Linked DNA regions of Mus musculus: region 1 is reported to be linked to region 2. The links are microRNA targets in miRTarBase. Many come from high-throughput screens and were not tested one by one. Region 2 holds a microRNA gene; the other region holds the end of a gene's coding sequence.
The links. Region 2 holds the annotated microRNA mmu-miR-488-3p (UUGAAAGGCUGUUUCUUGGUC, at 2,695-2,715, opposite strand). A microRNA usually pairs through its seed, bases 2 to 8, with sites in the 3' UTR of a target mRNA and lowers its output. Matches are read on the target gene's strand: a 7mer-m8 pairs with bases 2 to 8, a 7mer-A1 pairs with bases 2 to 7 and ends in A, and an 8mer does both.

Region 1: the mRNA of Nwd1 is a reported target of mmu-miR-488-3p. Seed matches in the 3' UTR shown: 7mer-A1 at 1,110-1,116.

The regions. Positions count from the first base shown.
Region 1 is chr8:72,711,317-72,716,696 of GRCm38, forward strand. Nwd1 (NACHT and WD repeat domain containing 1) reads left to right here. Exons shown (of 19, transcript NM_176940.5): 19 at 277-3,430. The coding sequence ends at 575. Among named protein-coding and RNA genes, the nearest start is that of Sin3b, 9.3 kb to the right of the region's middle.
Region 2 is chr1:158,503,024-158,508,403 of GRCm38, reverse strand. It overlaps Mir488 (microRNA 488), which reads right to left and starts at 2,779; the gene lies at 2,671-2,779. It overlaps Astn1 (astrotactin 1), which reads right to left. Exons shown (of 23, transcript NM_007495.4): 4 at 4,055-4,201; 5 at 2,935-3,042. All of the region lies in intron 1 of Gm37679 (a long non-coding RNA gene), which reads left to right.

The DNA.
Region 1 (5,380 bases), not on the chromosome of region 2:
CTCCATGAGGGTGGGTGTATACCCATATTCTATGGATGGTAATCATGTACTGGAGATGATGGACTTTGAGCCCAATGATTAGGTCAAACAGGGAGCCCCAGGGAGCATCCATGTCTGCCTCCAGAGCGCTGGGACTGCCAGTGTGCACCTCCACATGCATGCGTGTTAAGGGATTGAATTCAGGCCCTGTGTTTGCAGGCCAAGCACATTACCAGCTGCAATGTCCTTCCATCTCTGGGCCCCATTTTCTCATGGCTTGCCCTTTCCTGGTCACAGGCACTCTTTTGGCTGTCCAGTTTGTTCATGCTGTGATCAACCGAATCATCCCTACCTCCAATGGCTTCATGGCCCCCACAAGCCACGGCTATCTCATCCGTGAGCGCTTCCAGTGCCCGTCAGTCAGAGCCTCCCAGCAAGACCCTCTCAAGAACTTCAAGAAGGCAGTGTGGCTGGTAAAGACCAGGCAGAGGGAAGAGCTGGCTGCAGCAGAAGCCTCCCAGGATGCAGAACCAGTGGCCGTAGAGGGAAAGGAATCAAAGTCAAATAAACGCTCACAGGTCTGCCTCATACTCTGAAAGCCTACCAAGGCAGGGGCTTCAGTGACTTAGCCATGGCTCACCTGGTTGAAGCCAACTGACTCTCTCTGCTGGTGCCATGTGGACCCCCCCTTCCCCTCAACCATCTTCCATTTTTCCTCATAGCTTTTTCTGTGGGTTCTGAAGGCCTACTTCCTTCAAGTGAGCAGCAGCCTGCATCTCCCACCTTACTCTAAGAACTTGGCTCAAAGGCTTGGCTCTGCCTCTTAGTTGTACTGGTGCAATTCTTATCCCTGAGCCAGTTACTAGCTGTGAGAGGATCTGAAATCATTGTAGGGACCAAGAGTGACCTTGTCAAAGTGTTGTGTGATGGAGAGTGAAAGACTGCTGGGATGTGATGGGTGCTGTCCTGTCTTCATAGCAGTGAGCCTCCAGTAATAGCCCATAATCCATACTGCAAAGCCACACAGAGCATAGTTAAACACACAGCATAGTTAGTCTGTCTGCAGCTCCTGCTGTGAGACTCAAAATGGTGTGTAAAAAAAATCCTCCTAGGATCTGGTGGTGGCATAGCTTTCAATCCCAGCACTCAGGAGGCAGAGGCAGGAGGATTCCTGTGAGTTTGAGGCCAGCCTTAGGTTACATAGTAAGTTTCAGGACAGCCAGAGCTATGTAGAGAGAAAAGACTGGTGCTGGCTCAGGGCTTAAATCACCTTGCATCCCAGAATACAAGAACATTGTACACACTGTCACCAACCTGTAAGCCTAGCCTCAGGGAACAGGCTATTTTTGTTTCTTCCACTGCTGTGACTGAAAAACTCGACCAAAAGCAACTTAGAGGAGGAAATGGTTCATCTGGCTTTCACCCCCAGGCCACACACCCAGTTCTTTACTTAGGGAAGTCAGGGAACGAACTCAAGCAGGAACTGAAGGCAAGCCTGCTGGCTATTGCACACAGCATGACCTCTGACTAGGGGACTCAGCCGCGGTCATACAGCAGTGTCTCCGTCATTATCAATTAGTGATGGTCAAGAGACACCATGACCATGGCAAAGCAGTTAATGGGGTTGGGAGAACTGTTTATAGTTTCAAAGGCTTAGTCCACTGTCATCACGACAGGGAGCCTGGTGGCACACATGGCAGGCATGGTGCTGCAGGAATAGCTGAAAGATATATCATGAGAATCCTTTTAAACAGTTCCCTCTCCGGTGGCCAGACACTCAAATATATATGCCTCTGGGAGCCATTCTCACTCAAGACACAAGCCTGAACCACAGAGGATGTAGTTTCTGCCGTTCTCCTGATTAGCTAAGCTTTTTCATAAGCCCCAGAACCACTTACCACTCACAGTGGGCTCCCTCCTCCATCAGCTAGCAGTCAAGACAATGCCCCATGGACAGGCCCACACACCAGTCTGACCTGGGCAACCCTTCAATTAAGACTTGCTTCTCAGGTGACTCTAGGCTATGTGAAGTTGACAGTTAAAGCTAATAAGGTCATAGAGGATCCTGAGCATTCTGGCTAGCTAGCTAGACACATCTGTGAGCTCTGGGTTTGATTAAGAGACCCTGCCACAATGAATAAGGTAGAAGAGAAGTCAATGATTATTCCTGACTCAACCTCATGCCTTCAGATACACATCACATGTACCCACATGGGTGCTCAGGCACACATGAACACTCATGATGCCCACACCAGCCTCCATGTGTAGCCAAAAGTGCTGGCACAGTCTTATCCTCCTGCCTCCATTTCCTGCTTGGACAACTATAACCACTGTGCCCAGCTAAGATGCTGTCTCACTCAGTTCCCTGACACATCAGGACATGCTAGCATCTACCTGCTTTGCTGCCAGACCTTCTGCCTTGAAATGGCTTTCTCCACAGTGCTCACAGCCATCTAGTGAGCCGGTCTTGTGCCTGGAGCCTTGCTACAGCCAGACCTTAGAGGTGAGAGGCCCCCTTCACGCCATGGGACACTAGACAGACTCAGTGAAAGCAGCAGTAGAAACAGCTTGTTTTTCTGTGTTGGATACAGAACCAGGACTTGAAGGCAAGTGCTATATCTCAAGCCATACCCTGAGCCCTTACTGGGGGAATCCAGGAAGGGGCTTTACTGCTCAGTCACATTCCAGCTTCAAAATGAGGCCTTTGAAGATACCTTGTTCAGTTACTTCCCAAATAAGGATTCCAATGCATGCTTTAGCAATTCTGAAAATGTTAGTGTCAAATTTTATTTTTTTAAAAAAATTACTGGTTATGGCAAACAGAGGTTGTGTGCACCTTTAATCATAGCACTTGAGAGGCAGTGGCAGTGGCAGTGGCAGTGGCAGTGGCAGTGGCAGAAGCAGAGGCAGGCAGATTTCTGAGATCAAGGCCAGCCTGGTCTACAAAGTGAGTTCAGGACAGCCAGGGCTATACAGAGAATTCCTGTCTCCAACAGCAGCAGCAGCAGCAGCAACAACAACAAAGGTCTGGAGAGATGGCTCAGCAGTTTGATCCATCTTAGCCCCCACATCAGATGGCACACAAAAGGCCTTTTGGCCTTTGGAGATACCTGCCCAAACATACACACACACACACACACACACACACACAGAATTAAGATCAATATTTTTAAAAATTATGGGCCAATGAGCTGACTCAGTTGGTAACAGCACTTGCTACTCAGTCCCGATGGGCTGAGTTCAATCCCTGGCACTCAGAGAGTGGAAGTAGAGAGCCGACTTCAGAGTTGCTCTCTGACTCCACACATTCACTAAGGTAAGCACCATGGTGATGACACCCCCACCATGCACTCATATGCATACCAATAGTAGTAATAATATAATAACAATAAAATTAAAGATCTATTTTAAGCTGTAATTTAAAAATATATGCACATGTATTGAACAATAATTTGTTTGAGATTTTTAAAAATAATACTTTTTTACTAACATGTACTAATTGTAATATATTAATGAAGACCCACAAGATATTTTCAGCATGCAAGTAGCTGCAAACTTGGTCTTTGTTTTAAATCTACCTTCTGTCTCTGTCCAAAGCTGGTCCTCACAATTCCATATCCTTTTAAGTCAGGGTATGAGAGGGAATGAGGTTCGTCACTGTGCAGCCAACTTACTCATTGAACATGATGTCCTTCAGTTCTGTCTGTTTTGCTACAAATGATAGTCTCTCATGTTCTTCTCTATGGCTGTGAACTGTCCTATCACTGAGTGTACCACAGTCCTTTGTCCACCCACTTTGGTGTTGGTGACTGCTAGTTTAGGAGTCTCCAGCCATACCATCTCTGTTTAATTGAAGGACCTGTAGTTTGAGCAGAGAACCCCTGAAGGGGAAAGAAGGCCACATTTTTGTTAAGACTTTTCTATGAATTGTGGACATTATATCAAAACTGTGGAAAGTTTTGATGCACAGCTTCTGGCCTAAAATTCCAATGTCTGGGGCATGGTCACGCAAGCATTTAGTCCCAGCCTTGGGAGGTAGAGGCAGGAGGATCTCTGAGTTTGAGGCCAGGGTGTTCTACATAGCAAGACCCTGTCTCAAAACAAAACAAAACAAAAGAAAATTCTTGTGTTCATCGAAACAACCTGAAGGAGATTAAATTATGAACTATGTTCTGGGTTGGTGGCTGGGGAGAGCACAGGGTATGAGGAGCATGTTAGCAGTTTCTGCTGCTGTGTGAATGTCAGAGTGTGACCCCTGGTCATCAGAGCATGACCCCTGTTCCTGTAGGCACTGTGGATGAAAACATGCCACACAGACTATGCTCACTAAACCCACTGCAGACAGCTGGCTATTCCAGGGTTATTTAGTTGCTGTGAGCCAAACACCTGACTCAGTAGTTTAAACAGGGAAGGGTTTCTTTGGGCTTAGGGTTTGCAGTTCCAGTCCACCACGGTGAAAGCCCGGGGTAGGGGGAGGGGAGGGGCTCATAGCTGTGGCTCACATGGGGGAGATACTTTGTTGTTTAAAATCCATTCTAGATCTCTGGTCCATGGCATGGTGCCACCCCTGTTCAGGGTGAGTCTTCTGTCCTCAGTTAAAGCTCCCTGGAAATGCTCTCACAGACTTCCAAGGGAGTCCATATCTAGTCAAAGTGACAGTGACCAGGGTTGGTCATCCCTTACCAACCTGGCACATACATCCCCTTACATCACAGTCGCCTGCCCTGTCCCTAGGCCTTCTTGGCCATCTCAAAATGCAAGGTGCATTTGGTCTGTCTCTGAATGTGCTCAAAATAATTTTATTTTATTTGTGTGTAGGGGCAGGAGGTAAAGCTATGAGGTATATGTGGATCTTGGAGTACGGCTTGTAAGAGTTGTTTTTTTTCCCCACCAAGTGGTTGTTGGGGATCAAACTCACTGGGGTCAGGCTTAGCAGCAGGCACCTGCATACACCAAGCCCTCTCACCAGCCCCTCAAATGCCCAACATTGTTCAGAAGCCTCTACTGAGGCTCCAGCACCCCCTTAACTGTAAACTCTGTAAAATAATATAAAGGAAGTTATAAACTTTCAATATGTATGAGTCCAGCTTGGCTGCACAGTGAGTGAGACCAACAACAACCAACCTTTTAACTTCCAAGGGCACAGGTTAAAATAGGAAAGAATGAGTGCATCAAAAGAAAAAATCAGACCAAAGCTGACAGGAGTCTGCTGGGAAATACCAAATCCTGAAATGTGGCATTCCAAACCTGGAGCTCTTGGCCCAGCATCTGGGCCTCAACAGTCTACCTGCTGCACATGCAGCCTCTCTCATGGGGTAGTTCTGCTCACCCATGCCTTTCTTGGGAAAACATACCATGGTCCTGGTGTTTTCAAAATTCTGAGGTCCTGGGCTGACAAGAT
Region 2 (5,380 bases):
CATTTCCTCACACTTAAGGATTAACCCACAGTATCACATCCATCAAGAGAACATCCTCCCTCTGGCACTAAATGCTCTACATACTGCCAACTCTACCTGTCCTGTTTCTCAAACCCAGTATCCTGTCTGATCTCCACTGTCATCAGATGGCTTCTCAACTCCTACAACTCCATTCGATCCAACACTTTCCCTGTTTGTTCACAAGGCACACTTTCTTACCACCAACTCTTTAAATAGAAGGTCTTTTGTTTTGTTGTTGATGTTCAAGGTTACATCTCCATTTTCTCATCTTACATTAGGACTCAGGCAGTACCTGTCTTACCCTCACAGATACACCCACTGGTTCTCAGCTATTGTCTACACTGCCTCCAGAGGAGAGACAGAGGCCTCCACACAGCACAACTGACTAGCTAAACTAGACAGATCCAAGACCTTTGCAGTCACGACTATATTCTTCCTGGATTCTGCTGAGCATTTGGCTGGCTTTCCCAAACAATCCACAAACATGCACCCTAGACTTTACTGAACTATGTTTCAGTTTTCTCACTAAACCATCTCTTCCATTCCAGTGACTTTGCACAGATTATCTCCTCCTCCACAGAAGGCCATTTTGTCACCTTGTCATCCTGGTCAACACCTACGCTTCAACAACAGCTTCCTGAAAACACTTCCCTGAAACCTTCAAGAACAGATTCTCACTCTTCCTTGTTCTTCTAGCCCTTAGTGCACCCTGCTGTTACAGCTCTTATCACACGATGTCATCACTGTTTGCAGGCACTTGCCACTGCTCTCCTGTGATTGCAATAACTTGCAACTGATATTTTTGTCCCTTTCCTCTATGTGCACTGTCAACCCACAATCTAGCCTCCTCGCCTGCCTTCACATTGTCCAGTGGTTTCCTATTTGTTTACAGAATCCAGTGCAATTCTAAGAGCGTGGCAGGCAGGTTTGTGCTTTGGTAGTTAGCTTATTCTCTGCCTTCATCCTTACTTCCCCTATGTTTGTTTATATCCTGGCTAGAGCTACAGGCTCCCTCACTTCCTTGACAACCACATTGCTTAGAGTCCTCAGCTTTTTTTTTTTAATGTACTTCATTCCTCTACTGAAATGTTCACATCTAAGAATTCTTTTTCCAGACATTCTATACATTACCTATTTTTCAGTGCTAACTCTTCTTTACTGCCTCCTATTGCTGCCATGTAGAATTAAGTGTATCGCTTCTGAGTGCTTGTTTTGTTTATTTACATTATTAAATAAAGCCTTATCGTTCTGCCATGTTTTCATGTATCCACTACCTATCATAGAGGCTGACCCATAGGAGCTAGGTTATATGATGCTTTTGCTGGTCTGATTGATGTATCCAGTCCAATTAAGCAGACACTCACACACATATATTATAGGCAAACTCCTTTAGTAGGCACTTTGAAAAAATAATTATAGGAACGCTCCACCCCTAAGCCACTTACAGTTTAGTTAATAGCAGTAGACAGTTGATGCATTACAGGGACTTGGAAGTTAGGAAAACAAATCATGTTATGCTGTAAAGTAACTAACTCTAACCCACCACCAGGGGTTTTCTCAAATAAGACTTTATTAAAACAAGACACAACCTGCTTTGATACAGCCTAGATTGTGTATTTGTTCTATAAATGATTTTGAGCATCTAGGGAGAGGAAGGTACTGTTATCCATATTCTAATGTCAGGAAAAATGAGACTCTACAGTTAGTCAATTAAGAGCCCCGCTGGCTCCTCAGGAAAAGAGGTGACAAGAAAAACTCAAATGCTACAGACTGAGGAGCTTACAGACACTGGAACACAGAAGGAAAGTATCTTCCTTCTTGGAGTTCCTGGGAAGAATAAATTCTGTATGAAGAGAATTTGAGTGGAGGTAGGACTCAGCCAGTATGTGTGAGTTCTGAAAGCCACTGGTTAGGCATTGTTTGGCAAGGCCACTGCATTATAGCCACGCAAAGATGACACAGTTGATGCCATTCATATATCCTCCACCAATGTCTTGAGGAGAGTCTGTTTAGTATATTTCAACACGGGGCTCGGTAAAAACTATAGACTACTACTGGGAAGATCCAGCAGTAGCAATGAGGATTTCATAGTACTTTAGCAGTTGCCAAAATAAAGAAAGGATGTAATTCTCACAGAAGCCTTCTGTATGTGTTATTTGGAAGTCATTCAATATGTGAGAATGGATGCTCAGAGGGTCTGCATCCTTATGCCACGCCACACAGGAAGGAGATCCTGAAACTCACTGCTGTTTGTCTATAGAACACTGTCAGAGGTAATGGCAACACCAGGAAGGTCATAGTATCTCCTACAGTAGTAGCAGGAGTCACAGCTGAAGTCCGGGACTTCACCTAGGATGACCCTGCAGCCATACATACAGAAGTGTAGATGTGAATAATAAATTAGCTTAAACTGTGCCAGGAGAAGTGAAGGGTTTGGAGGCGTGGGTCTCAAGATTCTACTGTGTAAAACCTCAAAGGCCAAGTTATTCTCAACTCCTAGATAATTCCTTACTGACCATGCCCTCCTACCCCAGTCTAGCTCAATCTCAAGGCCAATGCAGTTGAACTGATGACAAGTACGTGTATTATTCATTTATTAAACCCCATCCACTTTGTTTGTCTGAATAGTAAAACATGACTGCTGAGTCTTCCAGAAGAAATTGAGAGTCTTCTGACCAAGAAACAGCCTTTCAAACAACATGGAAACTTGTTTGAGAGTGCTATTATCTGGGAGAGAGGATTCTCACTCTCACCCGAACTCTAGGCTCTCCATTCCTCCCTGGAGGAAGCTCCAGCTGGGATCCAGGCATTCTTCCTGCTGAAGTTGGCTCCAGTCCACAGAGTGAGGGAGCGCTCTGTGGCCCCTGCTTTTCCCACCTACACCCTACTTACACACCTTCCCACCATCCGTACCTCGACTGCGCCTCCGGCTCCGAGAGGGGTCTGTGTAGAAGGTCAGCTGTGGGTCATTTTCGGCCTCTGTGCTGGAGTCCCCTTCAGGGTTCAAGAAGGCAGAACCAGCTGAAATGAATTGAGAATCAGAGCAGATATTTTCATTTTGCATGATTGCAGAATCACAGGATGAGGTCTAATTGGGAAGTTAATAAAAATAAGAGTGGCTGACACACAGTCTCGGAGAGGTAGCAGAGGGGCTGGGACTTCTTGATACCCAGGCTTGTGAAGAAGCAGGCACTTAGGAGAGCAACAGATAGTGCTCTGATCCCTGCAGAGAACATGGTTCTGTGATTAGGGACTTGTCGGGCATCTACTCGTCAGAGAGGACTTCCAGAGAAGGGAGGGGGTAGAGGAAAAAGAAAGGAAAATGTTCCATCCTGCTTGATAGAAGACCAGAATTGCATCAGAGCAGAAAAGACATTATACTTCTGAGTTTTTCCTGATTCAAGAATATATACAAAAAGGATAAAAAGAGAGATAGGCGTATGTGCAGGGAACATGTCCTGCAAGCCCTCTAAAACAGGGGCAATTTTTTCTATTGCTTGATGGATATACCCTCTGTCCTTTTCTGATACTGAAACAGGTAAAGGGGTTTCAATCTCCCTTTAAAATGGAATTGAGCCATACCCTGATTATAATCACATTTTCCTCATTGAATAGGTGGGCAACTTTCCATATTAACAAATAAAGATCTATATGATCATTTTAAATGACTGCAGGGTAAATCACTGGACATTAGGCAGATGTGCCAGATAGTCTACCAATTCCCTATTGATGGGCGTCTATACCATTTCTGATTTTTAGCTTGTTTAAATGTGATAAGCAGCCATTTACAAACATCTTTGCACAGTTGTTCAATTTGTTCCTAGAAAATACTCATGTCCATGACAGTATGTAATCAAGAGGTTTCTAATCTTAAATTTTGGGGTGAGTAGCATCTATCTGGCCTCCTGAAGGTTGTACCAGACATATACATTTGTAGCTATGTATCACAGTGCATGTAGTTGGATTAATGGGCCCACCACCTCTGCCCACATTCTGGAACTCATCTGAATAACGTAGAACTAGACATGAGTACCTCTGGCTTTATTGTTGATCCTCTTTCTCTGGCTGCTGGAGGTGTGGGAGAGCAGAGTGGCTTGCTGGTGGTTAGAATCCACGGGGCTTGTGGCTATGATATTGTCTTTATACTTGTTCATCAGGGAAAGCTTGGCATTGTCACTCCCTATATAAGGAAAAGTCAGGAAAAAACAAAACAAAACAAGAGTAAAGGCAAAAAAATGAATGGAAGTGAGAAAGTCTGCTTGAGCTGAGTAGATAGGTCCCAATTATTGAAACGAGGAACATAGAAAAAGAGGCTGGTGGAAAGGAAGACATTCCTTTCTGCTGTCTAGGGGCTACAAAGTTACAGGAGGAGCGAAGTAAGAGGATTACCATTGAAAATCCAATTTAGCTAATTCCGTATTGATAATGTCACTACTAGCCAGCCTTTGGCTAAACACAAAATGTGGGGTTTTTCCTTCTGGACAGCACTGGGTTTTAGCAGAAATAGAATCTATGTGCATTCTGACAAAATGTGGCCTGTCTTTCATCACAGACTCCAGTATTCCCTGCTGATTGAACTCTTAACTACTGCATGGATTTGGGCAATCTGTCTGTTCCCTAAAGAGCTTTGGGATTGAACCCCCAAAGTACCATTTGTCCATTCCATGGCCTTGGTGCTATGTGGAATATGATGCATGCTGGAGAATCTTCCTTTCTACTCTCAGATTTTTAAAGTTCTCAGACATTAGATTGTATTAGGAAATGATTATTGATACAGGTCATCTTCTAGATGCTAACGAGAATTTCCATTTCCCAATTATGTGATTTCACCTTTTGCAGCCTCATGGAAAGTCTCTGCATCTTTAGCAGCATGCTGTATTGACTGTGTCTTCCTCAAAGAAGGGACTGGGCAGTACCTTGAGGACCACTCTTGAGATGCTGTCTTTTAAGGTGTACTTATTCATAGCAGTTTGAGAGAGAGAGAGAGGTTGGCTATCTTAAAAGAACAGATCTTCCTTTGCTTCATGTTTTTGACCCTGATCTTGTTCTGTTACGTTAGGGCCAAGGTTGTCCTATCCACTCTCTCGATAGATATAGCTAACATCTAAGATCTGATGCTTTGATTGAATTCTTTCATTTTATTTGGAAAAAAAAAATGAATCCTGTGTAGAAGCACATAAGCAGAAGATAACACAATTAGAAGACCCAAGGCCCACATCTTAGGAGGCAGAGAGAGAAAACCAAACCAAAACCAATCAAAACAAGAACCAACCAAACAAAAAGCAGGTAGCTGAGGACCTTCCATGTTACTAGATAACTAAGTTGCCTGCGAGAATATGTGATATACAAGCAAGTCAAG